Linked DNA regions of Oreochromis niloticus. The protein of the gene in region 1 interacts with the protein of each later gene in a pairwise test. Links are inferred from orthologs where the notes say so. Each region holds a gene or a part of one and is shown on either strand. Other genes may lie near its edges. The genes, in order: mpp2b and lin7a.

What was found.
Region 2: the proteins of mpp2b (region 1) and lin7a interact in binary tests that used the Homo sapiens proteins (3 or more experiments, as listed by UniProt). The two-hybrid records come from large-scale screens. The link is inferred for Oreochromis niloticus from reciprocal best matches to the Homo sapiens genes MPP2 and LIN7A.

Annotation. Positions count from the first base shown.
Region 1 is NC_031973.2:19,987,691-20,004,398, forward strand, and holds the start of mpp2b (MAGUK p55 subfamily member 2b), read left to right. Parts: upstream 1-8,456; 5' UTR 8,457-8,505; coding exon of another isoform or gene 8,506-8,536; intron 8,537-12,628; 5' UTR 12,629-12,644; coding exon 12,645-12,735; intron 12,736-16,708. UniProt on the Homo sapiens protein: Postsynaptic MAGUK scaffold protein that links CADM1 cell adhesion molecules to core components of the postsynaptic density. In CA1 pyramidal neurons, required for synaptic KCNN2-containing channel function and long-term potentiation expression.
Region 2 is NC_031981.2:15,752,872-15,769,963, forward strand, and holds the start of lin7a (protein lin-7 homolog A), read left to right. Parts: upstream 1-10,432; 5' UTR 10,433-10,533; coding exon 10,534-10,570; intron 10,571-17,092. Other genes in the region: acss3 (acyl-CoA synthetase short-chain family member 3, mitochondrial), read right to left, coding at 2,095-2,411. UniProt on the Homo sapiens protein: Plays a role in establishing and maintaining the asymmetric distribution of channels and receptors at the plasma membrane of polarized cells.

The DNA.
Region 1 (16,708 bases):
CATATGAGGCGATAAGCATGAGTTTAATATTCCTCTGGAGAGTTATTTTAACTGTGCCTCTATATAAATAAATGAGAAAAGACCCATAACTTTTGTTTTGTCCAGTGAAATCCAGCTAAATATATTTAAGTTGTGTGGTGACTTTGTCCAAAAGGGAGGCTTAAATATCCTATTTTTTCCTCATCTGGTTCATCCACACAGTTTCCTTAACTAATCCCATGCTAATTCACATTAGACATACAATAAAAAATAACAGTACAGCCACCTAAAGTTTTTTACAGTCTACTTTTTAGCTGTTTTTGAACAGATCAATAGTAAAATTTAAACAAAAAAGAAAGCCCCAAAGATAACCAAAAGCTCCTCCTCTTTTATGACACATGGTACTACATATCCTTGAATTGAGCTGTCAATTTGAAATATATAATGCTGCTAAGTCATGACATTCAATTGTCCCGATTGATTTTATTTTTTACAAAGTTTAAAAAATATCTCCAGACTTTTACAAATGTATTTGTTTTTTCTTTCAGTATAAATGTCATTCTTCCTATTAGAAGGTCAAGTATAATTTGTGTTTTGTGAAACATGGCTGATAATATTTTATCCCCAGCACAATGTTATTAGCTTTTTGCATTTAAAAGACAATTTTCAATGATGTCCAGTTTTTAATTACCATTGTCTTTCTGTATACAAAGCAAGCACTGGGTCTAATTAAACACATTTTTTTACATTGCTCCCTTCCTACAATGTTTCAATTAGAGATGCAACAACTGTCGTTTTCTTGGCTGATTCCAGCTTCTGATGGGTTTTTTTACACATGACCTGCCAATACCAATTTCTGCCAATTTCATTTTTCTTTGTAAGAGCTATAACTGATATAATAATAATAATAATAATAATAATGATAATAATTAAAGAAATGATTAAACTTAACAAATTTTCTTAAACTGCTGTAGGTTACAGGATCTTCTCTTGCTTAAACAACTGGAAAAAAGCGCTCTGCTAATGAAAAAAGATACCAATAGCTAAATGAATATTAGCTGCTGTACGCCCACCTTTACCTGACATATTTTACCCTATCAAACAAAAACAGGTCCAACTGATTTATATAACAAAACAGTTGTCGGGTACATACATTATTTTTCAGTATGCTTATAACTTAATTACATAACATGTCACCAATACTTTTCTCTTTTTCACTCATAAATGTTTTGATCCTTTGCTCATACCGAGGCTCTTGGCTAGCTTTAGCCACTTCTTTGTTCGTGTCTTTAAAATGACCATGTTCAGTTGGGCAAAGGCTCGTCTCATTAGGTTTGTGTATTTCAGGTCCCCCCCACAGTTTACTTTGGTCAAGTTTGTGTCACGGTGAGGCTCTATCATGCTAGTGACATTTTAGCGTGTGGGTGTGAGTATGCATGCAGTGATTTCCGTGTGCTGCATGCGGGCGTGTTGTATAGACACGAAATAGACTTTTAATTGTAATTATAGGAGGCCGACTGGCTGCCCGCCTGTCTAGGAAAACTGACCAATCCAGTCCCTGTCCAGTTGATCGGTGCATTTCTCATTCGAATCCACTAACCTGCATCTTTACAACAGGAACAAGAAACATAGATATCTCTGTCACCAAACAACTGACTGTTGTGAAGCCCAGCTGCATGCATGTGTGAGTGCAACAACATGATTGTCTCAAACAGTAGGTTTCTTTGTTTGGCTGGCTCTTTGTAGTAATGGGTTTTATGTAATTCTCCCATAGATTTATTTGTGGTTTGTTTTGGTGTCATGTGTCTTTTACAAGCTTAATTTTGGCTGGTGAGATCTGTCAAAATGTATTTCCAGGCTGTTGTGTGAATGCTTTTGAAATATAAAGCTAATCTGAAATCCTTTCCACAGACAAAGAGCAAAGCTGAGTTGAAGTGTAGCTCAAACACTGTAATAGACCCAATTTTAGCTCCAACTTATTATTATTTTACGCATTTTCCCTTGTTGCCATGGCAAAGCGCCGGGGAACAGAAAAAGAGCTGCTCACGGTTGTCTTGGATACGACAGTTTTCCCTTGTAAAGTAATGAGAGGAGCTGAACCTGTGGGAGCACAGGGTTATTTTTAGGCGTGACGCCAGCCTGCATGTGTGGATTAAGACTTGTTTGGTTGCTGGTGCTTGTGTGCTCGCATGTGTATCTGTATGTGCGAGCATGTGTGCAGGCTTTAATGCAGCCTCACTGTGAGAACACCTCAAGGCGTTTTACACTTGGCGTACAAACACCTGAGCCGCTGCTTGTGTCATTGCTCCAGGCCAAAGTGTCCTGGAGCGTGCAATTTCAGAAAAATTGGACACAGGCTTTCTTTGCAGTTGTATGCCATATATCTGCAAGCACTACCTTAAAGGAAATGGAGTTAATAATAAATTTATCACAGTGCATGGGGTTCACACAAGTGTAGGCTTACAGTCTGTGCAACAAAGAATTCCCTGAATGCAGAATTAAGAATTCCCTTCAACTTTAGGGATATTTTTAACTGACCTTTGCCCTCTTTATTCTGTGTTGCAGCAATCTCCAGAATAATGTTGTTCCACTGGAAATGTTGAGTAAGCTATATTAAAACAAATATAATTTTCTATCTACGTCGACCACAAGAACCAAACCTGCTTCTTGTTTTGGTGAACTGACAGTTGATGTAGAGATGATAGCAGGCCGGCAAATGTGATGTCATGACAGCTGCTCTCTTCCTGCAATACAGTGAGCAAGATGGAGATCTGCATGAGCGTGTGTGTGTGTGTGTGTGAGCTGACTAATGTGGACCCAGAAGGAAAAACCACTCAGAGAGCAGAGATAGTTTAGATGCTGCGATACAGTGGAGACACACTGACCCACAAGCTGCATGCAGGGTCTCTTGTAGTCTGTAGTAGAAAGGCAGTTAGTGAAAAATGGTAATTTTGAACAACTTCACCCTTAATGTTATTTTTGAGAAATACCTATTTTATCCTTGATTGTAGAGCTTGATTACTGGTTACATGTAACAGGCTATTCCCTCTGAAAATGGCACCAATTACCAAGAAAATGCCTCGGCTGGTTATGACCGCACCATCATTGACTCTCAACTAATTTACCGTATTAATATTACAAAAGGCAGAGTAGCGGAGTAAAAAGCTCAAAAGATTCGACTCTCTTCTCGGCACCCTGTCCTTCCAACCCTCCTGGTGTGTCGGTATCTTGCACGGCCAAGCTCTGCTGCAGTCGGCTTTGACTTCTTAGCTGCTGTGTGGTCTTTGCATACTTTTAACAAGCGCCGTCATTTCTCAGTGCAACATGGGATGCCTCGGATAAGCTTGGGGGGCTGGTATGTGGTATTAAGGACCTGATCCACTCGGATCAGAGTTTTGCAAAAGCCACGAGTTCTTTAGCATCTAAGAATGTGTTTTACTGTTACACTTTTAGAAACACGGCCTGTAGGTGTTCCCATCAGAAGTGCAAAGTTTAAAAAAATCACAAAAATTTAAAAATAAATGTGAAAAAAAAGTGAAATTTAACCATCTAAATAAAAGATTCAGGGGAAAAAAATGAACAATTACAAATCCCAGTAAATGAAACAGGATACACAGGCTGGATAATTAATATCTCAGACCCAAATGTCACATTTTAGTGGATAACAGAGAGGGACTCTCAACCATATTTCAATTTAAAAATGAATTAGTGGACACAGGCTTTTTAGTCAAATGCTATTAGAAAGGACAGTCCACCACCAAAGATTTCTAATTTTGCTGTCTCTAGCAGCCGTCTGAACAAATGGAGTGTAAAACGTCTGGTAGTGATGTTAACTTTCGGTTGTGTGAATATTGGCGCCCCAGTAGCTGAAAATATTGAGATTTCTAACATGTGTTTGACATTGTAAAGGGGGTGTATTTAAACCTAATTGACAGCAGAACTCAGCAGAAAACTAAGTAAAAATAAAAAATTCAAAACTTCTAAAGAGGTGGAAATGAATGAATTATCCAGAGAAGAAATAAGCTAGTATTTAATTTAAGGTTAAACAATGTTAACAGTTATAGTGAAGGGAATTTGTGGATTTGAGTTATATCAGTTATTATTTGGACAATTATCAGGCATTATACTTGTTTAGTACTGAATTAATATATTTTTAATATTTTTTCACTTTTCAAAATGATTCTTTTCAATTGTGTTCCTCGGGGTTTAAGCGGTATGATGTGTGAGGGGATCCACCTTCCTCTTGCTTCTTTAGCATCACTACTTGCAGGTCTAAGTAGGGCAGATCTTAAAGTTATTATTTTTTTGTGATGGCAAGACAAAAGAGGGAAGGAGGAGAAGTCTAACCAGAGCTGGTTGGAATGTATATGGTCTGAACAGTCTGATAAAGAGGTAACACAGATTAAGCATAACATTCTGACCACAGACAAGTGAAGTTAATGACACTGATTATCTCTTTATCATGGAAACTTTTAGCAGGTGGGCATGTTAGGAAGTGAACATTTTGTCCTCAAAGTTGATGTGTTAGAAACAGGAAAACTGTAACGAATTTAACAAGTTTGAAAAGGGCCATATTGTGATGGCTAGGCGACTGGGTCAGACCATCTCCAAAACAGCTGCAAAACTGCAGCTCTTGTGGGGTGTTTCTGGTCTGCAGTAGTTTGAGGCTACATAGTTACAGACCAGTCAGGGTGCCCATGCTGACCCCTGCCCACCACTGAAAGCACAAACAATTGGCACGTGAGCATCACTTGGGGATGGCCAGTTGTGTGTGTGTGTGTGTGTGTGTGTGTGACTCACGTAGGAAACACCTGACACCAAGATGCACTATGGGAATAAGGCAAGCTGGTGGAGGAAGTCTGATGTTTTGGTCAATGGAAAGCTTGGGTCCATGTGGATGTTACGTTGACACGTACCATCTGCCGAAGCGTTGTTGTAGACCATGTACGCCCTTTGATAGAAATGGCATTCCCTGATGGCTGTGGCCTCTTTCAGCAAGATAATGCAATCTGCCACAAAGCAAAAATGTTTCAGGAACAGTTTGAGGACCTTTAAACCAGGATCACTCGGTAACCAGTCAGGAAATACACATCAGTGCAGCAATCGTTGATGGTATCTAATATGGCGGAGAACTCTTGAACAATTTATTTGTGACGTCACTCATGAAGGCTCTGTACAAGATATCTCTCAATCAACTCTTGTTATTAGATGGAGTTTCAGCTGTGTGCTAAATCTGCAGCTAGGAAATCATCCAATCACAGAATAGTAATGATACATTGGAGCTTCTTCCTTAATACTGTCATCAACAATATTCATATGAATCACAAATCCAGAGAACAGTCCTTTTAGTGAGCAAAAGAATAGATTTGTTTCTCACTGATGCAATAAAAATAGCTTAATCCTATAAATACAAAATATAATAACTTTGTGATGAGATTGATTTGTAGGTTTAAACTTGTGATACTACTTGAAGAAGGGTTATTAAGCGATCTAAAAACTATAAAAGGGAGGAATAATGCCAGATTTGAAATAGACTGTCAAGCTACGTCTTTCAGTGGTTAATTTGAAAATATTTGAAACTTAATTATGACCACACCATCATTCACTCTCAATAAATTTACCCTATTAATATTACAAAAGGCTGAGTGTTTCAGAATAAGGCAGCTTTTTTGTCTTCTTTTCATATTAAACCACAAAATTGTCCTTGCTAAGTAATTGAGCAGACTATTAAACAAATTGGTATATTCAGATAAAACTCATGTCATACCAAAAAATTATTTTTTGTACTCTATGACGATTATTGAAGATCCTTTTTTTCAATGGCCCATCTCTTTTACATCCAGCCCTTGTGTACTGCTCCTCAGATCAAATACTGCCCTCCAGTTATAATCAATCCACAAAGAGGAATGAGACGAGGCCTTTGCCCGTGCAATCAAGCAATCTAATGAGAATATTTTCCATCTGTGCTTCATTATTATGTAAATTACTTTCAAATATACAGTTTTGGACACTTCCGGTATCATTGCATGTTAGAATTAAGTTAAAATGCACCCAGGAACAATTACTAACTGCAAAAAAATAATAAAGTTGCATACACTTGAAATTAACACGCACAGAAATGCAAATCAAAAATGCAAAAGCCTTTCTCTAAAGGCCAGTTACATTCAGTTGGGTTTTATTATTCCAGATGTGATATGATATGGCATGTCTGGGGGCAAAGAGAAGTAGATTCGTTACATAAGGCAAGCATAAATGGCCAAAGACCACAGACAGAATCAAAACACGCGGCCCAGTGGAACCAGTCGAACTAATAAAAGCATAATGATATACAGCACTTTGGTATCATTAGTATATCCAAACAAATCACTCTGACACTTATTCAGATGGAAGAGGTAGGTGTGATGGTAACACAGTAATCCCAAGATCCCTTTATTTTGGTAGATCATAGTTTTTATTACAGCGTATGCCATCGAAGTAGGCCAAAAAGCACAGTGGGGTCACATTAATAGTTAATAAGCTGAATCTTCAATCGGTGCCCTGGGATATGTTGATAAAATGCTGAGGCACAAAACTGCAGACTATATCTGAGCAAATATGATTTGGGAATATTTTGATCTCAGTGCAGAGAATGAAATGAGTAAGATTAGATACCGCTGGGCTTAAAGACATCTTTATGTTTGTGTTCACTGACAACTGATAGGCTACAAAAAACTGCTCTGAGTAGCTTTGTTATTGGAAATTTCAACCTAAAGGGGAGTTAAAAAATATCGTTTGCTCAGTAGTGGTAAAAGATAGAAAGACAGAAGTTTTTAGCTCATCCAGCTGAAGGACAAATGAGTGAGGCATCCAACATCCGTCTGTTCGTCCATCCATAGTTGACAGGAATCGCAACTTCTCTTAGAGTATGGGTCTGATTTTAGTAGACTGATCTGGTATTATTCTGGTATTTATTTATGCACACACACAAAAAGGTAGACGTAGCCACTGTGACATTACTACCTCAGCATCAGCATTATGGCCACACTGTCTTGGGTCTTTGGTACCAGAACTGATTAGATTTAGATGGCATATTGGAGTGCTCCATTGACCTTATGGATACATCTCAAAGATTCAGATACTGATTACAATAAAATAGAGACTGCAGACTTCTCAGACTGACTGTTAGTGCAGAGATCCAAAAGGCTCCAAACCCCAAACACAGTTGAGAGGTCCAGTTTGGTCATTTGAGTTAGTTTGGGTGAAGCCTATCATAAACCCCCATTGAAGTACAGTTGTGATGAAGTGTAAAGTAGTTACAGAGACAGAAATAGTTTTTTTTTGTCCGTTATGTATAACATATATGGGAGTCTGTGGGGGGAAGACTGACTTGTAAAACCAGCCTTCATTGGCCAGTTGAGGAACTGGATTTTTTTTCCACTTCCTGGAAGCTGCTGCTTGGATTTATTTTTATTTTTTTGTAACCCTGACAGAAAACATTCATAATGTAGCATTTTTTGTGCCATTTCTCCCCTTTGGTGTATAGCTCTTCAAGTGCTGGATTGATAAGAAGCGTCATCCCTCCAAATCAGCCATGTGACAATAAGGCTAACGTGGGATTTTTATGTTGCCAGACACAGACATTTACACACGGTGACCCTGTGGTGACATTGCTCACTTTTGACCACTACAGCATTTATTCCACTAAGGATAGCTATTGTCATGACAACCAGGAATTAGCATCCTTGGATAGTGCTGCCTGTCTCCTATCAGCAACGCTCTCTTCTTCCTCACCATTGTTCCCTCTCTCTTTAACTCCCTTGCATACGTTTCAGTTACTTCCTGCTTTTTCTCCTCCTCTTATATTTTCAGTTTCTCTACAGACATGATTCCCCTTCATTGTTCTGCTCAGTTTATGTTCCCCCTCATTCGCCATGTCGTTTATTTACTTTTCACTGTTTGCATTCTCATAAATTCTCCATGACTTGAGGAACCAATTTTAGATCCCAGAACAATAGATCGTTAATCCTGCAGTCTTCTGCCTGCGACGCTTGTTACGTTTTCATGACGATAAATGGATCAATTAGAGTCAGCAGAGATCCTCACTAAGCTAGTGATAACTGGCCTTGCTGAACCCACTCACAAAGTCTTTCCAACTGTTGCTAATGGTATTCCCAACGGATACAATGGCTAAAATTGTTTAGATGTTACCAGGGCAACTAGCTGTTCTGTTTTTAGATCTTAATAAAGTTAAATACCAATTACCCTGTGTGGGAGCTTGTTAGTGTGAATGTTTAGTCCATTGACTGCGCTTGTGCCAGAAAGGGATTTGTACACTAAGTCTTCTCCTGATCACTCAGTGTTGAGCTTCAACCTAACAACACAACTTTACCCTCCGTCGCTTATTTCATTCCTAATTCTAACCCAGCAGTGGGATAGATAAAGGTTTTAGTTTTTTAATGCATCTACCTTCTCGTTTTGCACTCTCTTTTTTATTGCAGTTGACCTAACAAGTCTTGTGGAGGATACTCAGAAGAACCAATTTCTAAAATGCCCGTGGCCACATCCAGCTCTGACTCGGGTAAGTGTCTCGGTCTCGCTGTGATGATTGCACGAGTGTGTGTGCGTGCGTGCGTGTGAGTGAGTGAGTGAGTGAGATATTGAGAGGGAGACAGTGGTTAGTGGTTATTCTTTCAGTCAGTACTTGTATCTCATCTCCAGAGTGGTAATGTGACTTAATGAGCTGGCTAACCGAGCGGTAAAACGCCGGTCCTAGATCAGTCATGCTTTAAAGGATTTGCCAAATGCCTGATAGCTGAATAGTATACATCGGTGTATACATAACTGCAAGTTTTCAGATGAACACACATTTGAAACATAAAGTGACTCTTTTATTAAAGATTGTCACTGAAATAGCAGGACGTGGAAGAGATTAACCTCCAAGTGTCGTGTAAGGGTCTTGCTTACTTTGGCAGTTAGCTTTTTTCTGTTCAGCTTTTTTGAACTCTGTAGATCTGTAGTCAGTCAGTGCCTGCTACAATGCAATAAAGTGTACATTCATTGGACACTTCATTAGTTACTAGGAATGTCACGATATCAGAAATTTATTAGTTGGAACCAATACCCGTATAACCACATGATTCTCACTATCCAATTTGATAACACATAATGTTTAAGTACATGGGTTGACCATTTTAAAATCTTTTATTAAAAGGTTGTTTTAAAACATGACAGGGTGGCAGATCATTTATTTAAAATGTTAACATTATACTTGGCTGACAGATGAAATCTGAGGATGGTTGCAGACTAAGCTACTAGTGTTACAGTTACATTATGTTAGTATTAGTACACAATGTTAGCCATTGCTAACATTTTTGCCTGAAGAAAAGTTGACTCACAATAGGAGTGCCAGCTGCAGGAAATGAAATGCATATTTCAGTAGAACTCAAGGATAACACTTTAGCTATTGTTACTGTGAAAGTTGCTGAGCTTGAGTTTTGTGAACAGATCTGGATGCTTGCTTTGCTAAATTAAGAATATTTCCTCCTTTGATAGGAGAAAGACCACAGCATGATTTTCGTATTGTCTTTTGCGCAGCAATCATCGTGGCTTGTCAAAGCAGAGCTACCGCAGCTGCACTAGTTGCCATTTTCAACATGTGGTTTTTCCTGTGCTTGTGGGCTTCCTTCCTCGTGTTCAGATTGTAGGCTTAGACTAGAACACTTTAAGCCATATGTTGCCCTCTTCAGCTCTGGAAGAATTGCCACCTTGACACACACACTGACTATGGTACCTATGTTACCATGGACAAGGAAATATCATGGCGTTTTCAGAATTTTGAGATTGAATTTTACCATAATTATGGATTGTGGTGACATTATCCATCAGATACACCTTTCTTGTACTGGGTTAGACCCCCTTTTGCCTTCAGAACTGCCTTAATTCTTCATGGCATAGAGTCAACACGGTGTTGGACACAGTTCTCAGAGACTTTGGCTTATACGATTTGTCAGCTACCATCAAACCACATCCCAAAAGTGTTTGATTTGAGCATAGTAAAGTAGTGCATGATCCTTCTGGAAGTGGCCATCAGAAGATGGGTACAATGTTGTCATAAAGGGATGGACATGGTCAGCAACAATAGTCAGGTAGGGTGTGGCCTAAAACCAATGCTCAACTGGTACTAAGTGGCTCAGAATGTGCTGCAAAAATGTCCTCCACACTATTACACCAGCTGGACCAGCCGGAATCATTGATACAAAGTAGGATGGATTCATGCTTTTATGTTGTTTACATCAAATTTGAACCCTACCATCCAAATGTTGCCCTTGTGAATTGTAGCTTCCTTTTGTCTAGAGCTGGGCGATATAAGATTTTTTCATATCACGATATGTTTTTTTCATTTCAGGCGATAACGATATATATCACGATATAAGCCAAATAACTATATTTGTAAGATTTAAATGTGCCATTGCTCACAAGTAAAATGTGAAATAATCAGCAGCTTGTTTTAATTAAAATATTTATTTCCCATAATAAGTTCAACAGGGTAGATGTACTTAAGGAACATGAGACTTCAGTTTCAGATAAAGGCAAATATTGCAAACTACACAAAAGGCAGCCGCTAAAGCGTTTAAGTTTCAAAATAGAACAAACAAAACAGACTAAATTGTCAATTCCACTTAGAAACAAAATATTAATTCTAAAAATAAATCTTAGGTCGTTTTACAGAAGAACAGACAAAATTGACTAACTTTTGTCAATATCAAATAAACTGAGAACTAAAAGTTAATTCTTAATCTCTCCTTGTTGTATAGCTTAGCTTTTCAAACAGTTTTAACAGTGACTTTAGTCTGACAAAAGCCGAATGACGAATTAGCGCTTTCAGTCAGAGATTGAGCATGCACCGCTTTATTGTATTTCCAGACTTGCTTTCGGCACAATTTACAGTGCGCGCTACTCTGTTTTTTGTCAGACGTGAAATAGCCGAAATACCTTCACACTACGGAACTTCTGTGGCCCTTCGGTTCGACAAGCTCTCCGGCATTGGAACCATCATCGTTTTTTCTTCGGTAACCTTCGCTCACGCTCTCGGTTGATTTTTGTCTAGTCGGCAAACTCATTTCCTTCATTACCCGGGCTGCACGGCTGCAAAAACAAATACACATGTGCGCCTTGGCGCTTGTGCTGTACGTAACAAGTCACGTGACGTGACGCTGCGGCTGTGATTGGTTCGGCTCTGCGCTACTTAATTTGGATTGGCTGTTCTTTTTTTTTTTTTTTAAGAGGACAAGAGAGATGAGGTCTATCGCAATAGTTTAATTTTTCTATCGAGAAAAAGTTATTTCGCAATACATATCGTTATCGTTTTATATATATATATAAAGTGATAGGAGTTCACACAAGGGAAGCAGACCATTATACACAACCACTGCTCATTAGAAATGATCAATAATTTAAAAAAATGTTAAGAATAAAGTTAGTACTCAAAATTAGTTGTGGTGAGGTTTTTAATTTTATTTGTAAATTTAAAAAAAACTAATAAAAGGCTTCATTGTGTTGTTTGGAGTAATGTGGGTATGCCTGCACATTTACACATGCACATCTTCCTTTATAAATACTGATATATGTTTGGGAAAAAGTGTTTTTTTGTGCGTACACATAATTTTTACATCCGGCCCGCATGTCTGGGAAAGTCACTCCAGTGTGTTTTTTAACACGGGGCCAAATCTCAAATCCGCAGCCTCAAAGTATTTTGTTATATATGATAGTAAATTCCAGCAGTCAGCTGCCAGAAAAGGAGAGGGAGAGAGAAAGAGAGAGAAGCATTTTATACCAAGAATGTGCGTTGAGTCTTTTGTGTAATAGGCTGTCAGTCAGTCTTGATTTGTGCACTAGCCGAGGGCCGAGACTCGGATGAGTGGCATTTTTAGTAACACGCAGTCGATTGTTTCTCTAAACCAATTCATGTCTTTTTTTACATTTAAAAAGCAGCATTTCCAGCAGGGATATATTTTGTTCAGACTTGGAGAAGGGTTAAAGAAGGGTCAGTTATTATTTGAAACTTTGCTATTTTTACATTTATGTCAGTGAAGTAGCTCAGATATAAATTTCCCAAATAGATCATTTCACTTGTATTATATTTAAAAAAGTCAAGTCTGTGATTGTTCCTCTGATAATAGTAATGGCAAGCTGTAACAAAATACACAAGTGCGCTCCCCAAGCGCCACTTCTTTGACCACACCTCCTTCTTAAAGCCAACCCTCTGCTACTCTCTCCCCCCACTTGACCCCCATGGGGAAACCTAGACAGGCAATTTTCCTGGCTCCTCTTTACCCTCCTCTTAAGGAAAGCATCACACTTCGCTCCTCTCTTTCTCCTCTCACGTCCCCCCACCTTCTTTCTTTCCACATGCACCCAGCCCTCCCTCGTCTCCGTTCATTCATGCTGAGGAGAAGACGCTCGGCCAGGCATAGCTTATACACATTCACGTCAAGAGCAGGTGGAGAGGGAGGGAGGGGAAGAGTGGCGAGGTGCCTTTAGCGAGGAGTCATTTTGGCGGAAAGAGGAGGGAATCAGGGAGCGATAAGGAGAGAGAGGGAGAGGAAGATCTCTCAGACTGCCTCTGATACAGTATTGGGTGTGTTACTGAGAGTGTGTGTGTGTCCTGTAGTGAGGTGTTGTTCACCATGGCTGGCAGCCTGTTTGGAAGGCTCTCCCTGGAGGAGGGGGACTCAGCCAACTCCCTAGAGGGCCTGGATATCAAGCTGGAGGGAGAAGGTAAGAACACAGGAACTTGCCTGCTGCGAAGCAATATAGGGATTGTTTATAGCAGTTCAGGTGTGTGTGCTGTTACTAGTTAGGCAAGACCTGCTAGACGCAAGCTGTAATCAGCAACCAATTCAGTGTTATAATGTTGGTGGTTGAGGACCAGTTGGTGTTTGAATTCATACTGCACCTGCTCCTGATGTGCTGCTTCATGTCTCCAGATTGTGATGACGATGAGCAGAGACAGAATGGGACCCAGGGCAGCATGCGATGTAGACGAATCCCAGGCAGCAGAATGCAAAGACATGTATTCACTAGAACCTTTTTTGCGCCACGGACCGGTTTATGCCCGACAATATTTTCACGGACCGGCAATAAGGTGTCGCGGATAAATACAACAAAATAAAACTAGTGCCGGTACCGAAAAAAAGAAGATTTATTCATAACACACGTGAAAAGACCCAGGAAAACCGAGTTAACGATAAAAACGCTAACAAAATAACGCTGAAAACCGATAAAAACCCTGAAAACCATACATTTCACACCTGAGCCTCAACTCTCGCGGCCCGGTACCAAACGACTCACGGACTGGTACCGGTCCGAGGCCCGGTACCAGCTGCACTAGAATACATCATTTCAACACAGAGTCCGTTTTTTTCTTTTAATTTAATTTACAGAGATTGTGAAAGGAGGAGCATTAAACTGAGAGAGACCAATTTAGATAAGCCACAATAAAAAAAAAAGAAAAAGAAAAAAACTCAGTGTAAAAGCTAATTTGTTGTACTGGATGATAGTGGCCAGACAATGTTTGTTAGCATAGCACTGAGTGACAAGTACCACACAACCCATTTATAATACATGGAATTCATTAATACTGGATAAAGTTGTATACCACATAGTAATGTGGTATCTATTCACGTGGGTCCCTGTGGTCCATGCATGGGCTGCCTGTCTTGGCTAAACAGTGGATATCAGGTGAGGGGGATAAGAACTGAAACAAGTATTTGATGCTGTCATGTTAAATTAGCAGCATCATTACATCATTGCCAAGTCTAATTTGTGTCACACAGTATACTGTCTTGCAAGATATCCTCCGCTTTTCAGTGTGTATCTTGACACGACAGCGGTGACAGCCGTAATGAATCATATTTTCAGTCAATGCATTTGCATCCTGTCTATCAGTGCACAGTGAATGAGACACAGAAAAGGAGGATAAAGAGAGAGACCTCCAGTGCATTGTACATTCATGGTGAGTAAGTGGGTGGGGGGGGGTCATTCATATGCAGCGGTGTTCTGATCAGAGACAGCACGCTTGGAAGTGTCACACTCACAACCTTCAGATAACTCTCCAGCTCTTTCACTTCCACCCTTTCTACACACACACACACACACTCCACACATCTGCGGGACAGTACACAAACTCTCACGCTATCGGAGGAATATTCTGTGTGCCTACCGGACTAATGAAGCAGTGTTCAAACACAGATGATGGATCATTGAGTACAGTGTGTTGGTAGGATTACACTGTCAAAGATAATCGCCGGGTTTCAACAGAAAGGGACAATTTAATACGGTTCTGGCGGAGAGTATTCGATAATGTGGTGACACTGGCAATTATTTCATCCGTATCACACTCAGATGATCTCGGTTTGCTCTTTCATTAACTGTTGCCAAAGAAAACAGATGTACGGTTTGACTCAAACTGCTTGCCTGCGTACAGCGAGCTACATTGATAAAGTTATTAGCGTTAGTTACAGTGAGAACGTAACACAAAATCATCTTTTCGTTGACACTTTCTGTGGGGGGTGAGGGGGAGGGGCTGCTGTCCAATTGCAAAATGTCAACAAATATCACAAGTGTTGTCTCCACTGGTGACCTTCATACAGCTAATAAGGCGATCTGACCTGCATCCATAGCATGCCAGCTTGTAGCAAGCATCACCATGGTGATAGGGAGGCTGCTTAAAAGTCCCTCGTCCTGCTGATTGGCTATCTGGGACCTGGAGAGAGAAGGTCATGATTACTTCCACTTGAAGTGTTGCCTTTTATAGGACATTCACCTACACTGTTATAGCTGTTAGACCACTTAGAATTTTTTAAAGTCAAGCAAGGATAATATACAGCCATTATCCAGCTGATAACAATGCATTATAATATGTTGCCTTGAAAAAATGAACACCATTTAGGGGTTATTTTACAGAGATATTTCACTGATATTTCTGCTTCGTTTTTTTCATAGGAGCTATTACAGTTAAGATTTTTTAGCGATGAGGTCAGGCAGGAGTCTCAGTGATGGTTGCAGACAACATTGTGATCTGTAGTGGAAGTAGAAAACAGGTAGAAGGGGTAAGGAAGAGGTGGAGGGATGCATGGGAGAAAAGAGTAGAGGTAATAAAGGTGGAGGATGAGTTTAAATAGTTGAGGGCAACCATCCAAAGCAACGGACAGTGCGTAAGAGAGGCGAAGAAGAGACTGCAGGCAGGGTGGAGTGGGTGGAGACGACTGTCAGGGGTGATTTGTGATACAAGGATACCAGCAAGAGTGAAGGGAAGTTGGTAGTGAGACCTGCTATGATGTTTGATTTGGAGACAGTGGCACTAAATAAACAGGAAGCTGAGGTAGAGGTGGGATAGCTGTAGATGTTAAAGTTTTTTGCCAAAAGTGACCAGAATGGAGAAGCTTACAAAAATCTACTTATCAGGCTCTTATTGGGGATTGATGAAACAATCCACTTATATTTTTATCCAGCTATGTTTCTGTAGGGCACTCCTTTTTTTGTTGTGCATCACTTCATCTCTACTCCATGACCAGGTTTTGTGGCCATGCACGCACTGTATCTGACTCGCTGCCCTTTTAATCTGGGGAAAGTAGATATTAACCATACGCGTGCTGCGCTTGCATCATGTTTTAAACCACTCTGTCAGGCAAAAACCAGAGTCAGAATCACAAGTTGGAATTTCTGACACTTGTTAAAAAACACAAAAACCCACACACAGGCACACGGTCCCTGCAGCATTATTTATATAAAGCATTTAATGCTTCATGTAATTCCTTCATGTAATTCAGCTGCTTCACTTAATCTCATCCTGAGCAGAGGCCTTATCAGCAGGAAGTGACAACACCTGTGGGTGCTGATTATTTTCCCAGTACCTTAATTTCACATCATGACGTTTAAGTCCAAAACTTAGAACTGTGTATTATGTGTGCAGCCATATTAATGCAGTGGAATTATTATTATGTTTTTAAGGAGGAGATCTAATTATTTATAGGCAAGTCTCTACAAGTAGCACACAAACAAACGCACACATGCTGATTGACCATGCAAGTAAATTACACAACTGTTGTGCCCACACATGCTCCAGACGACATTATTACACCTCATCATTACGAGCCTGTTTTCTTTTTCAGTGACACTCCACGAGGAGGATGTTGACTTAATAATCCAGAGTTGAGTGCGCGTGCCCCAACCGTGCGCTCGTTCTGTTTGCTTTAGTTGTATTTTGTACGCTCTGTGTTGTTGTTCCTGAAGGAATCTCATCAGACTGATTGCACTCAGAGGGCTTCAAGCTGCAACACTGTGTCATGTTGGAAATATTCATGAATCCCATTGCACTGGGATAAATTCATCGAATGCTTTGGCCTTAACGATTCATCAGTTCTAGCACGTACACACCGCATTGGAATATATTCCAATTCAATATCATTCTCCACCAGTGTCTTAAACATTTATCTTTTGCTACCTGAGGGATTGATAGTAATTATATTTAGCTGGAGAGCCGGGAACCGAATCAAATCTAAAAGCAACATAAAAGTATTTAATAATGTCTTTCAAGGCCAAATAGTATTTTCTTTTTTATAGAGGTGACTTCCAGCAACTTGCAGCGACTTCTAGCAGCTCTTCCAGGAGACAATGAGAATATCAATGAGCTTCTTCAGGAATCTGTCTGTGTTTCACGGGACAAAGCAGGTGTTGTTACTGGCTGTGC
Region 2 (17,092 bases), on another chromosome or scaffold:
TATGTAGGCTGCTGTGCCACATGCTGTTATGTTTTACAGCTAAATTTTTTTTTTTTTTTATTTGTCCTGTAAGCATCCTATAATTTATATGCACATCTTTAACTGTGGATGCAGGTATAATTACCCTTTTTTATTTTATTTATTTATTTATCTTTTGCACATTGTAGCAAATTCTAACCACATTAAACAACTCACATCTTTGATAGTTTTAATGGTTTCCAATTTTTTGGTTTTTTAATAAGTGCCCTGAACATGTCAGGCCAAACCATAACATCTGTTCTGAAAATATTTCTTTTAAATATGTAACAGAAAAAAATATTGCTTTTAAAATCTGGGAATTTGATACTTTGTCAGATCTAATTGTTGCTAGTTGGCTGCTTGGCCAAAACTAGAGCTGTTTCAAGCTCTGAGACATTTTTTTAATTTTTACTTACTAACACTTTAAGGTGGCAGCAGCCTGATGAAACCACTTGTGTTTTATTTCTTTGATAAAAAATATATTTATCCTACTTTTTGGAGCTTAGGGGGGAGGATAGTACTCAACTTTTGGAGTACTAGTGCAACCTGGTACTCCATTACAATGTCCTCTCCATGCCCCCAACACACGCGCATATACACTCATCATCATCACCTACATACACACAGTATTGTTTACCCAAACATATATCACACATCTGACTCTTGACTGACCCCTGATTTCCTAATTATTCCTCAAGCCTCATTCTGGGGCCCATTCTTCCTCACTGACATGCTCATTAAGTTAACTGTTCTCACTCTCACAGGGAACTGCCTTAAATGTTCAATCATATTCTTTCCCTCTGTAAAAAGGAAAAAATTGCATTTCAGTAACTCAAAAATGGTCCAAGGAAGGAACAATGGTGACCCACTGACAGCGTCATGAGTGGCCAAGGCTCAATGATGCACATGGGAGAAGAATGCTGTACTATCAAATTGCCAAAAAAATGTAATGCTGGTTCCCTTCTATGTTGTATTCTGTCACCATAGAAAAGTATCAGAATACACAGTGGATTGCCGTTTTTTGGGATATATGGCTACATAAAACCAGTCAGTGTCCCCATGCTAGCCCCCAACCACTGCCGAAATCAAGAAGAAGGAGGACATGAGCATCAGAACTGGACTGGACAGAATTTCTTTTACATCATATGGATGGTTGGGTGCGTGTGCATTGTTTACCTGGTGAACACCTGGCAGCAGAATGCACTATGAAAAGAATGCAAGCCTACTGAGAGTCCATGCCTCCACATTTCTGTTTCGAAAGGGGGCTCCATACAAAAAGGAGGCAGGTGGTGATAATTTAATGCCAGATAGATATACATCCCACCAATTAATGCTTTCAAAGTGTTACCATATAGGGGTTCTCCTGGGAACTTCCCTGCTCTAAATACCTGATTCGAATAATCTCCTGGGTAGTGAATGTTGCAGCTGTCTGCTAACAGCACCCAGGATGATGCAATAACCAAAAATGTGGTTCTTTTTCTGGGGTCAACGCGATTCCATAGACTTTCCATCAACAGCAGGGCCGTTTGAAGTCCGTCACCCGTCTCAGCAAAACTACCAATCACAGAAGAAATAGGCGTTCCTCCAGGGATCGCTAACAACTTAATAACCAATCATAACAGAGCTGACGTTTCCCCTTCCCAAACCAACCAGTCACAACAGGATAACCCTCCAGGTCATCCAGTTGTTAATCCCCCCCCCAAATACAGTGATAAGTTACAGTAATCGGACAGTATTAAATTACAGTAATCGGACAGTCACGCACATAAAAAAAGTAAAATGACGAAGCTATGTGGGCTGGACGCAGAGAAAATAAACCACAATATCGTGGTTTCTGTGTGAGTTGTCCAAAAGTTATTCATTACTAAGCAAATAAAAACTTCATGGTAATGAGATTATTGAGGGCGTGTATCCACTCTATGGGATATTATCATACATGAGAGAACACGTTGATTTCACTCATGAGACAGGTGGCGGTCACGCACAGGTTGTTCACCACGTTTCATTCCAACTCGCCCACACAACATTTAACACCAGCTGTTGTGCAGATCACGTGTAGTTCACGCTGAAACTTACCAGTTTGGGAACACCGGATCCTCAACGTGTAGAGTTTTACTCCACGGCTCAAACCAGTTTATGTCGCGCCCCACGTCAGCCCAAAACTTCTCGGGGTTGTCCCTGGCCGCCGCGAAGACTCGGCCGTACGCAGCATCAGACGCATACTTTCTGCAGCACTTCGTGGGGAAGTGCGACTTAAAACTCCCAGATGCTTCACCTGCGTTTCGCTTTGCTGCTGCACAGAGAGTCCACGCAAACCTCCCGAGTGTCTTCTCCCGCAGGACAGGAGCGCCGTTATTCAGGCGCTGGACTGAGTGTTTTAGCCTGAGAAGCATTGTTGCTGGGGGCGTTTTTTTGAACTTCCACGCTGCTTTCCCGCGTCCCTCTTGTTTTTGTGTGCAGCTTTGGAGCCCGCTTCTACAGTTCAACGCTGAGCGACGTCATGCGGGCCCACTTAAAGGCAGAGAGGACTTCTGCAGAAATTCTTAACAATCGCCTCAGGGAAGGCTGTGAACTATGAACTGGATGTAGTTGCTGCAGGAGGAGTTTTGAAACGCAGTCAGCGTGATTACACAACACATAAGCTCCACCGCAGCTTTCTTAAACCAACTATTTTGGGTGGAAAATAATCCCAAGACATTTTTCTGACTTTAAGCAATAATTCTGCCGTGCAGTGCAAAGAAGAGAGGAACATTGTTGATAGTAACTCCTGTCCACCAGATTTACTTATTTATTTATTTACTTTTGTTTACTTCCAGCATCATTAAATTTTTAATTGTCCTCGAGGTAATATCAATACTCCTCCTTGAGTGGAAAAATGCAAATAGCCCCACATCTGCTAAAACTGATCATGGCGTGCATTCATTTGTTTGCTTGTGGGCATTTATGGGAATAATTACTCGTGTAGGGTCATTTAAAAACCTTAAAAATATTTGCATCTTAAATTAAGCCGATTTTCCAATACAATCACAGCACATGAGCAGCGGCAGCAGCTCTTTGTCCTCTCACATTGTGCCGCCTCATGCACTTCTTTCCCTATCACTGGTAAATACCCATAATACAGCTGACCCCTTGAAGAAGTTTGCCCCTCGTTAAGTACCTCATCCATCTGATATTTCAGATCACCTGTTTATGTTTATATGTGCTGAGCAGTGCTTGCGCTGTCCAGTACAGGTGTTGCAACGATAGTTTCGATATCGGCGCTGATATTGGTATCAGAACGATATCAGCATTATAGGATCGATACTTTCTTTAAATCCTATGTGTTTAGTGTGTAGTCCACTGATGTTTTACATTGATTATTTTTGGTAATGAAAAAAATATACCTCAAACGTGCGCTATGAAAAATATCTGGACCTTCTTGTGTTGACTGTGACTTCTGTTTTATTTATAGCCTCCTACAGCACATTTAAACACAGGGGGATCCTTTAGAGACAGGAACATTTACATTGCTGTTTACATCTCAAAAAAAAACCCATGGTATCAGATGGATACCAAAATTTGCACTGTGGCACAGCACTAGTTTCCAGCAGAGATGGCCAACTTGAGTTGGATTGCAGCTGCTGCCTCTATGACACTTGTTACCATTTGAGTAAAAGTGGGGGGAATAAAAAGTGAAATCTTTATCCCAGCTGACAAAAGATATCAGTAATCAGCAACTGATTGATGCCTTCTTACACCCATCACCCGCACGTCTTATCCTGCAGGTATTTCAGCGTAACAGAACTATAATTTTCTTTCTTTTTCAGTTTTAAATTAAGTATTGATTCAAATTTCATCATATTTCAACCATGCTTTCTCCTCTCATGCTATAATTTGTTTGGCCAAAAGGTCTCACTAAATCACAGTTCCCCCAAGGAACTGCCATACATATATATATATAAATATATATTAGAGTAGATGCTGTTGGCTGAATATGTATCATTCTCTCTGGCACCTTACGTGCATAGACCGCTATCTATTAACCGCTTTCACCGGCTAATCAGACCCTAAACTTTTCATGGCTTTTTATAAGCCCTCCGTCTTGATTTGATGTGATGAGTGTGAATGTTTCAAAGCAGAAATCAGCCGACTGCCCTTCAGAAACCGATGGAGAAATGATTCATCACTCTAGCCCGCAGTGTCTTAATGTAGTTTGAAAATCAAATTTGTTTGAAGATAATGATCGCTGTTTTACATTCTGAATGGGTTTTAGATGCAGTTGTCAGAAAGACTAACGAATGATTTCAGTCAATATCATTCATGGTTTTAAGTGAGTGATACTTCATAACGGTTTATTAGAGCTGAGTGAATTTACTTTCAGCGATTGCTTCATATACAAAATACTAGAGGCACCCAATCATTACAGGAAATAAATAAAGGTGAAAGCCATTTCCCCTTGTTAATTATGCTCTTAGTGCATTAATGTTAAAAGAGGAGATGAGATGAAGTTGGACTGAGGTATATTTAAAGGCTTTGACAAAGCTCAATATACATTGGGATGTATTCATGTTTTCAGTTTGCAGAAAGCATCAGGATGGAATTATGATGCCATCACTCAATCAGCCATTCCTGCTTGACAAAGTAAATGGGTGCTGTTTCCCTGAAGGGGGCGTCAGTAGTCTGTTAGAGCATGGGTGCCAAATTTGTTTCTGTCCATGGGCCACCTACAGTTCAGTTTGAACTCTCAAGTGCACAGAGCACTTTATTTTGAAAATAAAAAAAAGAGACAAAAAAAAATACAAAAACAAAACAATTCTGAAAACAGTTCTTTCCCCTTTAGTTTTAATGTAAAAATGTGCATTCTGGAAAAAAAAAAATCATTAAATGAACCGTCCAGAAAAACATCCTGAACATCCTCAGATGTCTTAAGAATAAATATATCTCAGTTTTCCCGCATCCATTCAGTCTGCTGTCAGCACAATGAAATGCTGCTGTCATAAATCAAATAACAGTGTCAGCACAGTTCCAGCTCTGTGACTTAACCACCTTACTTCAGTGTGATAAAGCAGGTCATGGCAAATGTCTTTGCCAGTAAGAAGACACTAACACTGCTGATCATTCAGACTTCTGGCTCGAATGAGTTAGTTTGCACAACCAATCGGATTGCATTGTCCATTCTAAACAACTCGCAGCACAGTGCTGACTGGTGCAAATTAAACTGAAATGTCCGTTCTTTCTCTTCTGTTTTCATCTTTCTGTCTCTGCAGAGCTGTCCACTGCAATGGCCTTTTTAATGTGCAGATTATAGCTGACACGCCATATGTTTCACACTCTGAATTAGAGGTTTAAATCCCATAGTGGTGATGCCGAAGTGGGTCACAATCAGTGTGACAGGCTTTGTTGAATATAGTATTTGAAGAAGGTAGGGTTCTCTGGCGTGCCTGCCTTCAGAAGGCCAATTACATTCACCAGCCACTTTATTGGTACACTTCGTGAGTATCTGGATTCTTTTTGCCTTCAGAACTGGCGTAATTCTCCATGGTATAGATTCAATATGAATAAACATTCATCAAAGATTTCGGTCCAGATAGCATGCCATCAGAAATTGTTTACACTATGATCATCAAGGGATGGAGATAGTCAGCAACAAAACTCAGGTAGGCTGTTATGTTAAAATGAAGCTCAGGTGGTACTAAGCAGCCCAAAGAGTGGCCAGAAAATATCCTCCACACCATCAGACACAACCAAGAGGCTGAGCTGTTGGAGGATGGATCCATGCTTTCTTGTTGCTTGCACCAAATTCTGATCCTACCATCTGAATGATGCAGCAGAAATCAAGGAAGGGGATCTAGGGGGAGAATCCCAGTAGATCAGCAGTTTCTGAAATACTCGGACCAACCAGTCTGGCACCAACAAGCGCGCCACATTTAAAGTAACTTTAAATCACCTTTCTTTCACCTTTCTTTCATGCTTAGTTTTAACTTTGTCTTAACCTTGTCTGCATGCCTAAATGCAATAAGTTGCTGCCATATGATTGGCTTATTAGATATTTGTGTTAATGAGCAGTTGAATAGATGTACCTAATAAAGTGGCCATTGAGTGTAAATGTCTCATAATTTGGGTCTTTTTTCTTAGCAGATATTAACAATAAAGAAGAAAGCTGAGGTTCCGTCATATGAACAACAGAACAGTAGATTAACAAACTCATGGTTATTTCCAAACAAGGGTGAGTTTTTGTACTCTACTCTTTTTCCCCCCCTGGTTATCCACACATCCAAAGTTTGGAACGCCCAAACTTTGAGACCCACTCACAAAAGTGCATCCTGACTTGCCTTAAAACAAAACTTTAAATGTGAGATTCATAGTTTACACAACAGCCTGGAGAAGCGGATGCACATCACCATCCTTCACTTGGTTGTTCATACACAGGAAATTAGTTGCATCAACTTGTCTCGTTAAAATATAAATACAATTTTAAAGAATTATCTGTCACATGTTTTTCAAGATGATGTTTTTTTCATTATCTGTCTGGCACCGCCTGATGGAGCAATATAAGCAACCGAGCTGCTGTGGAAAAGCAGCCTGTCATCTTAACACAAAATATCCAATAAATACTTTATTTTCGAGACGTTATCGCTCAACAGGAAATTTTCATCTTTTTTTTTCCCACTGTGGCATGCCGGATGGATCACAGTCAGTGCGGCACAAGGATTGGAATCGATGGTTGACAAATTTAATAATGGCCTGTTTTAATAAGCAGTTGTTACCTGGAAATGAAACCCATGTTATCATTTAGTGAAATACTTTACTTATTTCCCTACTGTTTTAGAAAAGCTTTTCTTCCTGTGTCAACATAACAAAATCTAACCTTTATGGATTTTATTAGCCTTTTATCAAAGCCATGTGAGTGATATTGATCTTTTTTATGAATGTGTTGCAGGAAAAGGAATAAGGTTCCAATTTTTCCCCAAATGTCCATATGACCTTACCTGTTGAATTCAATTTGAATGGGTACTGATGGGAATTGAAGATACAAATAGAACTTGCACACTGGCTAATGCTCTGAGCTTTGATCTGCTAGGCAAACAGTCCAGCCGTCTGTATTTGCCCTGTCCACATGGCCTCTTGCATCTCCTTCCGTGGAAGTGGAGGCATTTCAGAAATCAATTCACTTGCAGCTTTGTGGCTTAAAGACCAGTGCGGCATAATCCCAACCTCTTAAAAAAAGCAGACCTGTATTCCAGCCCATATAGATGGAAGCCTGTAATCTCGCTGTGCCCTCTTTCTGTGTGCTCTCTAAGCCCTCGCCCTCTCTATCCGTCCATGCAGCCTACCACTCACCACTATTTTGCATCTGCACACAGCTGGGTGGGACTGTTGGTGGACTGAATTCGCTTTTACTTATGGACTATGTATTTGAAGAAGCATGCAAGTTTAGAAACTGTTTAAATCAAATGCAGAGGAAGCGGTTAAACATTTAAAACATTAAACATTTTAAACATTTTATTACAATTTTTAGATATAGCAGCCAATTTGAAGTGAAGTGAGGTAAAGAGGTGTAGTATTTGCCTCCCAGCTGGGTGTAGACTAAAACATTTAGTGCAATGCATGACAAGATAAATAGGATTTAAGTAAAATGTCTGTGTTTATGAGCCTGGGTTTTGCTCTGAACAGCTGTGCACATGTTAGTATAAGTGCTAGTCCTTGCCTCAGGTGTGTATTGATGTTTACAACTTGCATTTGTCATGGCGAAGTCACGGTTCGTGAGCCATGTGACACGTCATGCTGCCTTAGCATCCCTCCAACCTGGGAATCTCTTCTTATTTCTGTTGAGCATGGCTTCTGTCAGCTGTAATGACTGCCCATGTATGAGACACGCCAAAGCAGCAGGCGCCATTAGGCAACAGATCTACAGTAAATGAAGAGAGCCAGCGGTTTGGCACCATTCTGTGGTAGCACATAAACATGAGGATTAATTCTTAAGCCCTTCAACGTAGGTTCACTACCGTCATTCGGTCCTTATCTGGCTGTATGCAGTGCATGTAGCCAGGAGAGAAGATAACAGGCAGTATAGCTCAGTGGTTCACAATGAGCCTTCATGGCAAGCTTGGTTGCAATCACCTGATCTCTGAAGTGCAAGGATTATAGCTGTGTAAGTGTTCATGTGTGCACAAAACACACATGTGTGCATCATTGTGAGATTCAGCATGCAATCCAGGTCCAGCTGGTTGACTGCAATATGGTGAAACTTTTCAAATACATTACTGTGACAGATGGAATACCAATTTTGACTGTTTTTCAACATATTATTAGCTTAATGACTAAGGTCCGCCATCCCTCTTCTTTTAAAAGGTATCTTATGTGTCCCATGAGAGCACTAGTCAGGCTACCTCTTGTTTTTATGAGCCTAAACTGAGTAACACTCCTGATGTCAGCATGCAGAGCTCTCTCGATATTCAGGAGTTTAAAGATCTATCTTTTTAATTTGGCTTTCAACTTGAAGTACTGAAGTGCTATATCTTTATGCTTAGTTGTTAAGGTTGTAATGTATGTTTTTAATGTCAGTTTTGCGTATAATTTCATTTATGGGCTTGCCATCAAAAGCACTTTGAGATGCCTGCTTTTATCAAAGACACTTAAGTTGAGTCGAGTCAAGTAGACGGCAGTGAATAGAAAATCATCTTGTAGTAACGGTGACTAGGTGTTACTTCAGATTCTAGTGTTGAATCATGGCAAAGGTAATGCCCTTCTATGTGGTGTTTGGTTATTCTCCTCACACCTCCGTGGCCTCCAACTGCTCCAGTTTGTCCAACAATCAAAACATGCTGGGTTAATTTTCTTGTAATTGTGCCCTTGACCAAGGCACAGGCTTGAAGCGTGGAGTTGATCCCATGAGCCCACTGCCTCAAATACTTAGGATGGGATAAATGCAAAGAATTGCTTTTCCTACAGGGAAATAAAGGGTCTCTCACTCTGTGAAGGCCATGAGAGGCTCCAGCCTCCCTGCAACCCTGAATAGGATAAGTGGAAGAAGATGGCTATGATAAACTGTAAAAAATAAACATGTTCAGTAATATGTGGACTTAAATCAATTCAAAGACGAGGTGTGCTCTGGCAATTTTACATTGTCAGTATTCACAAAGGCAGGTTCTTTAAGAAATGGCTCACCCTATTTGGTATGCAAGAAGACAGAGTCGTGCACAGAGTCCTGACTGTAACTCTGTCCAACACTTTTGTGGTGAACTGGACTGCCTGGAAGCAGGACCAGTGCTTTTCACAAAACCTTTTGTGATTACGTAAGAGTAGAACATTGCAGTTAAGTTCCCAAACGCTGCTGAAAACCCATCAAGAAAAGGGAACTCTGTTATCACAGCTGCGGCCTATATCCTGTTTTTTAAACAATACGTTCAACATTAAAACTTAGAATACAACATGACCCCATTCTCTGTTAAACTTACCACATTACTCTTTCTCCTGAAAAGCTGGACGTCTTTTATTTATTGATTTCATTCATTGAGATAAGCTTACATTAACTCAATTTTTCAAATTAAATGTAGCTTGCAAAACGAAACGAATCATATGATTGTCAGACTGCAGTGCTATATGATCAGACGTTTTGTCCCCCTGTTGGCCATTAGAAAAAGTGCAGAGTATGGCAAAGTTTTCACAAGTCCATATTTTATATACAGCACATGATTAATCCAAAGATTGTGTATTAAAGATAAATCTAGCCACTGTGACCTCTCAGAGCCCTGTTGTAAAGCACGAAGGTGCTTTGAAACCAGATGTGAGGAATCCCAAAAGGATGATTCTGTTCATCTGGACGTAGCGTTTTCATCCAGATGAACAGAATCAACCTTTTGGGATTTACTTACCTGGATGATTGAGCATGCATCAAGACAGATGTGAGAAATATGTGACACTAAGATACACTGCATCCTCATAGGCAAGTGATTTGTAAATCATTGTAAAACATACCCTGCTTTAGTCTACCTTTTTAATCTAAAGAAGTCCATAGTTATTCAATCGAACATTATGGTGTATTCAGTGAGGCCCCAAACTAGCATTTGCGACCATAAACTCATCGGGAAACAGTTTCCTGAGATCACAAGTTAAAGCCAAGGTACTGGTGCAACCATAAGAGTCTCCCCCTGCTGGCCATTAGAAAGAGTGCAGTTTTAAAGAGCTTCCAACACTTTTTTTGTAGACAATATATTTTTGATCTAATGTAAAGAATTTTAAAAAATTAGTGTATTTTTTGGTTTTTATATGTTATCAAATTAATTTTATCCAAATGATTTTTTAATTTTTTTTTAAAAAGCCAAAAAAAACCCCGTGAATACTATTTTTCATTAAGAGCGTAAAACAGCAGCGCATAAAGCGCAAAACAGCTGATAACAGCACCGGGTGACGGAGATGGATGGAGATAGTCTAATCCTCTCCCAGCCACTCCCAACCTCTCTCTCTCTCTCTCTCTCTCTCTCCCTGTGATGCTGCAGCTCCTGTAGGCTCTTCAGTCTCCAGTAAACAGCAGTCATGGCGACAGTGGTCCAACCGCTCACACTGGATCGAGGTAAGGCGATCGGAGCTTTGCATTCTGTGCATGTCACCGGAGAGATTATTTTCAGCCTTTTTTTCCCCCAAAAACTTGAGCGAGGATTTGGTTAGATTCTGATGTTTTCTGTTTTTTGGTGAGTGTTTGTCCAGCTCGGATTTCCTACACATCGTCTGCGCGAGTCGCTATTTCAAGGCAATATGAGCTCTGGCTTTTCTAAATAAAAGCCCGTCGGTTCCGTCCGTGTATTTTTCCAGACCGGAGCGCTCAGTTCTTTCGTCAAACTACCGAGGGGGTTTCTGCGAGCACGAACATCTGGAAATTAATACCCTTAAACCACTTACAAGGGGTCTCGTTTAATTTCATCTGTATTATGTAACCCCTTTGGCAACATTGTCCCGTTAAAGCTCGCTTTTTGATCTTCATCTGGCGGAGACAATAACGCTCAAATCCTAAAGCGCCTTGACACGAAAAATCTACTTTGTTAGACGGGAGATAACTTCTCAGGCTATCTGAACTGGACAGGTGCAAGACTGGCTGATTGGTTCCCTCATCAGGGTGTAGATGTTGTGTTTTGTACTTGTTGGAAGCGGTGTGCAAACAAACCGCAGTTGAGGGTTAATGTTGTCCTGTGATGATGTTGCCTAGCCTGTTTTGTTAAGAGCTGTTAGTAATTACAGACTTTGTAACTTAGACACACATTAGTCCCCTGATCTCATTCATAAGATACAATAATAATGCATGTAGGCTGATAAAATGTTCATTTTCCCACCTAAAGATGCTGTACAGATATTTAAAATACACTAAGGTCTCTCGTAATATAGTAATTCCTCTGGGAGATTTGAGGAAGTACAGAATGTCCTGTACACTTGAGAAGATGCCCTTTACATCTCAACACTTTTATGTTAAAGGAGTCGCATATTCAGACCAAATGCAGATCCGCTGGTGAAATGTAATATTGCACAAGCCTTGCATAGGGAATGGATACTGTCAAATATAGAGAAAGGAGAGAAAGGAGACACCTTAACGCTTTACTCTGTGCCAAGTAAAGCCAGCGTCAGCTCTCCTTCCAAGCCACACGAGGGACTTATATAAATACTCTTATTAATTATTCTGTAGGGATTAATCTGACTGATGTCACTCGTTATTGGTGATTTAAGTAATTAACCACATTAACATCTACTGCTAAAGAACACAATTTTTTTCCCTTCCATATGTTCAATTTGTTCTTCAATGAAATTTAATGTCTGAGGGCAGTGAAGCTTTACAGGTGCACAATCTGCTGGGAAGCTGCAGAAGTGCTGTACATGCAGAGTTAATGAAATGAGCCACAGATTGAATCCGGCAATGAGATAAACAATGCAACCTAAGCTTTTCCCACCCATGTCTCATAGTAGACTATAGATTTATTTTTTAAAAAAGAGGCTCTGCTAAGCTGATAAATAGATTTTTAAACAGCAAGGCAAGGAGCGATGTCCTGCAACTTGATAAATTGTCAACATTCAGCCATGTCTGATCTTAGTCATTTGCTTGGGCAGTGACTCAGCTGTGACCTTCGTGTGTACACACGGGGCCTGATCCATACCCACAAGCTGGAAAATGCAGCTGTAATGGCACAAACAGTAGTAATGATAGTTTCACGCAGGAGCTGTCAGAGGCAGGCAACATTATAGGCTTCCTGTCCTCGGATCCTGCCACTTTGGTGAAAACACTATAATTGCTAATGAAAAGGTGCACTCCTCTCGTTTCTGGGTGGAGGCTTTTGCTGCCGAGTTGCTGAGTTTGTCAAATGCACGCAGGGAGAAAAGGAACAGAGATGTTCATTTCCAGAGCTCCCACTTGGCTTGCGGGGTCACAGCAGGATGAAAAGATATTACATCATTGGCCTTCCTGTTATTGTCAAAGGAAATGACTGTGATAAGCAAGCACCGTCGAGAACAATGGATTTGAACCTCGCTGTATAATAAAAAAAGAAGCCTTTTATTCTCAGTAGATCTGGCATTTATGTAAGTGCAAACTGACACACCCCGGAGATGAAAACCTTTCTGTATGAAACAGTGAGAGCAGAGGGCACTGTGACTGAAACTTCCACAGATAAATTTAAACATCTATCAGGTACGGCTAGGTGGCAGGACCCAAATGCAGGACTCAGAGACAATGCTGTAGCTTGAATGCTTGAAGAAAAAACAAGGATACAAAAAACCAGAAACTCCCAGAAGCAGGAGAACAGGAAACAAGGACGTCAAAGATAGCATGAGTGGACGATGCGACAACGAGCAGAGGAAGACTGAGGACTAAAATGCACACAGGATAACGAGAGGATGGGCAACAGGTGGCAACACAGCTGGAACTAATGCAGACTAACAGGACAGGGGAAGCAAAACTGAACGCGCTGTACACTAGACACGAGACTGTCAAAATAAAACAGGAAGTATGATAAACACGGAGATGAAGACTAATCCACAGAGGCTTGACTCGGGGACCGGGGAGAAACAGACATGGGGAGATGACTGACTGAGGAGACAGAGAGGGAACATCAGACACAGAGACAAGAGAAAAACAAACATGAAGACGAGACTGACTAAACACATGAGAAGACTAGACACTGCGAAAAAAACTCAAACACCACACAGAACTAAAGGCTAACCGAAGCATACTTAAAACATGACGTAAATATAACTATGAACCTAAGAATCACATAGAATATTCAAAAAATAAACTGCATATTGTTCAGAAACTTAGTACCAGTACCATGACAACGCCGGCAACCTGCATGTTTCCAGTGAAATGCTTACTCGCTGATGGCAGGATAATGCTGGCCACGTTGTCCATTTCAGTTTGGTGTGTTACTTTGTGTTACTTGTTAACTGATTGTTTTTTTGTGAGTCATATTCATTATTTTATAATGGTCTGCCTGGTCCAGAATTCAGCTCAGAAAACATTGAACTAATAAAGCTCATTTGCTGAATTGTAGTCCTTCCATTTAATTGCATTAAAGTCCTTCACTTTATAAAAAATGTCTGGAATGTCCAGCCAGCAGGGGTGACCACGCTGTGTCTAAAACACTGCTTTTGTAGACATCTGTGAGAATACAGCCTCAGTAAACACTTTCCTGATGAATTTCTGGACTAAATTACTAATTTCAGGATGTATTGATTAAAACATGAAGTCAGTTTTGTACGATATTGTCGTTATTGAAGTCAGAGAGGAGGATTGTCCATACTCATCAGCAAATGACTTGTAATTTTAAGTTGCTAGCCAGTGAGTATAAAGTATTCTTAGTTTCACAGTCAGATCCTCTAATCACTCTTTACCTGTTGATTTGAAACACAAAGATGGTGACAGTGACAAAGGATCCATCATCAATCCATGATGTAATGGCAGCTACCGCTATCTTTCATTTACAGTCTTTAATTGAGCAAAAAGTTGATGGAGATTTTCATCAGTTTAACCAGTGAATGATGTGCAGTAGACACTTGGCATTATGTAGTTGGTGTTAACAATAGTGTGGAAGTCTCCCCTCAAAAGTCTCCACTGTTTGCAGTTTTCCGAGCTAACAAGTTAACCCTGAGCCTGTGGTAGGAAGATTAGATGTTTGTTCCTAGCTCTTCTGCACCACATGTTATGGGATGAAGACACTGATCAGTTCTTTATCCCCACCAGTCTGTTCATTTAGAAGCTGCAAAGCAATCTTTATTCGTCCCTCACTTTGCTGCCATTGTTCATTTTAACCCCAAACGAGTTGGTGATTACGCCTGGGCTTCACGCGCATTTCCACAAACCCAATTGTTGGATATTGCACTGACCATAGCTAGAAGGAAGATTTTAACTCTTTCCACTCACCTTAATACCCATGCTGTATCTGTTTTAGTTAGTACAATTTCTCCATTCAGCCAAATACAAAAACATAGATGCAAAGTTGTTGAATTTAGCTGCTTGTTACATAGGTTTACGGTGGCCATGGATTAGAAGGTAGAGTTAGAGAAGGTCATCATCAGAAGGTTAGTGGTTCATTCCATGGGTGCTCCTGCCAAAGTATCCTTGGGCAACAATCTGAATTCTGAGTCACTCCCAGTGTGAAAGTTAGATAAGACTAGATAGACTAGATTACAAAAGTTGGATAAGATAAGTTAGATAAAAAGTGCTTAGACAGAGAAAAAAGTGTTTGTGTGAATGGGCAAATGACACATGTTACACAAAGCGTTCTGATTGGTCAAGCAGAGTAGAAAAAGCACTATATAGGAACTAGTCCATTTGCCATTTACAGGTTGAAACTGTGTTAGGGGCGAAAGCATTGGTTTATCATTGTTAGAAGATTGCAGTTATGTTCCTTGTACCTACAGCTGTACAGCATGTACAAGAAAGTAGTTTCTCAGCAGTGCATTTCTTCCTGTGAGGTCGTGATCAGTTCAAATGTCAACAGTAGAAAGAACCCGTTCCTTCCCAAAGTATGAATCATTTTGTTTTTCTTCACTGTGTTGCAGGGACCTTTGGAATAGAACAATTTTTATACAGTTTATGTCTTCTTGTCTTAGCACAGTGAAATGAATAACTGCGAGATCTGAGGGACCGTGGTGAGTTCATCCATTTGAGGCTAGAACATATTTCCATCACATCCACTCAGTCACACCGCTGTTTTTAAGGGATTAAGGAGGTGCTGACAAGCTGACGTCACTTGTAGCTGTCTATATTTTAAATGGCCTCCTGTTAATGCAGAAATAAAGGTTCTCTCAGTAATTGTCTTGGAGGGACATTGCCCAGTAATTACCCAGGATGAAGACGACAATAAGACTGTGATGTTTTCTGGCTCTGTTTTCGCCACAGGCTCCTGCAGGAGCCATTACCCTTCTAGGAGTGATTTATTTCTTGTGCTATAAGGGAATCGCTGCAGTTGGACAAATTAAAGCTTATTCTCTTGGCATGGGGAAAGAACTTGGTTGTCCCATTTTTCTGTATTCAGACTGTGATTTCTTTTGTTTTTATCACTGCCTTTAGCAGCAGAGTTGCCAAGGGCACCCAGGTCAAAGTGGCAGCGGCAGATGGCAAGGACTTTTCAGGACAACTTACTCCCAGATGCATGACATCTGGATAGCATTTCTCAGGGTACAAAGGTGGGATTCCCGTCAGAGAAAGGTCATTAGAGACTTTTTCTGCCTGTCACCCTCTGAGATGGAAAGCAGCATTTCATTTAGAGTTAGTATTTGAAAAGAGGATCTCAGGTTTAAATCTCAACGTTGCGGTTTAATAAGCGCAGACAGACGCGGACGTGTTTATTTACATTGTTGCAGTTTTGTCAAACTGACACTTCTAAGTACTAAAAATGGATTAGGTTAAGTTTTGTACACTGCTATAAATGACTAATTATGTCAGGAAATGGGAACGGAGCCCAGTGCAAAACATCCCCTCAACAGTGTTGTGGAGCTTTGTGGAGCATTGAAGCCTTTATTACGTGTTACTGTGGCTTTGTTCAGCTCTGTGCCTTTTCTCTAATCAACAAATGATGAGGATGACCTTTTTTAGTCACAGCCTGATGTTTTCAGGGTATAATGCCACACAGACAGTGGCAGCTATAATCATTTTATACCGCAATATTTGTTTTAGATATTTTTTCACATTGTAAAATTTAAAATGAGAAATATTAAACTATTGTTCTAGGTATGAAAAGTTTATTGGACCAAAAGTGATTACATCATGTGTTCTGTTCAATATATAAGTTGTTGGTTTGTCTACAAGCTGCATTCATCTCCAATTAATACTCCAGATACTTGCTGATTGGTGACAGCATATTGATAAAATATTTCAAGAACTTCAGTCATCCAAAATAACTAGAGCTAGCAGAATTTACCACAAAGTAAGACACAGTATTTGTCAGAGAATTAAATCATTCAAATGCTCCAAAAGATGCTAACAACACAGACATGGTTAAGAGGTCCAATGTACACCTCTAGAAATAGCAATGTAAACAAGCAAGCTAGTAGTTAGCTTGCTAACTATTAGCTAATTGCTAGCAAGCTAATAGTTCGCTCTAGTTGTTTTCTAATATTAGGCTGTTAGCTTATATAACCTCAATTCTCAAAAGTTAGGGCTTTATGGAATATAAATAAAGACAGAATGTCATAGAGGGAAAGATTAGCGATAGAAACCAAAACTGTTCTTTGTACCAGGCGCCTCTAAATGTGTTTATTTCTGTTTAAAGTTGGGCATTGTAACAGGGAGTCTGTGGAGATTGACTCACTTATAGAGTTAGCCTAAAGTGGAAGTTAGAGGAACTGCAGTTTTGGTACTTAGAATTTTTTTTCTTGTTTTCATCTTTGTAGTTTGGCACTTATATCACAATCTATCAACAAATCCTCAGCTGGGATCTCTTATAATGCTGTAGTCAGTTTCTTCCACTGATTATGTCCCTATTCAGCAGTTTTCCTTATTCTCCTTGTCTATTTAATTTTAATTAGTTAGAAAGTCAAGAAAGATGAAGCTGAAAGAAAGAGTAATAGTTAAAGTTGGTGAGTTTACATGCCTAGGGTTAAATTCTCAAAGCAA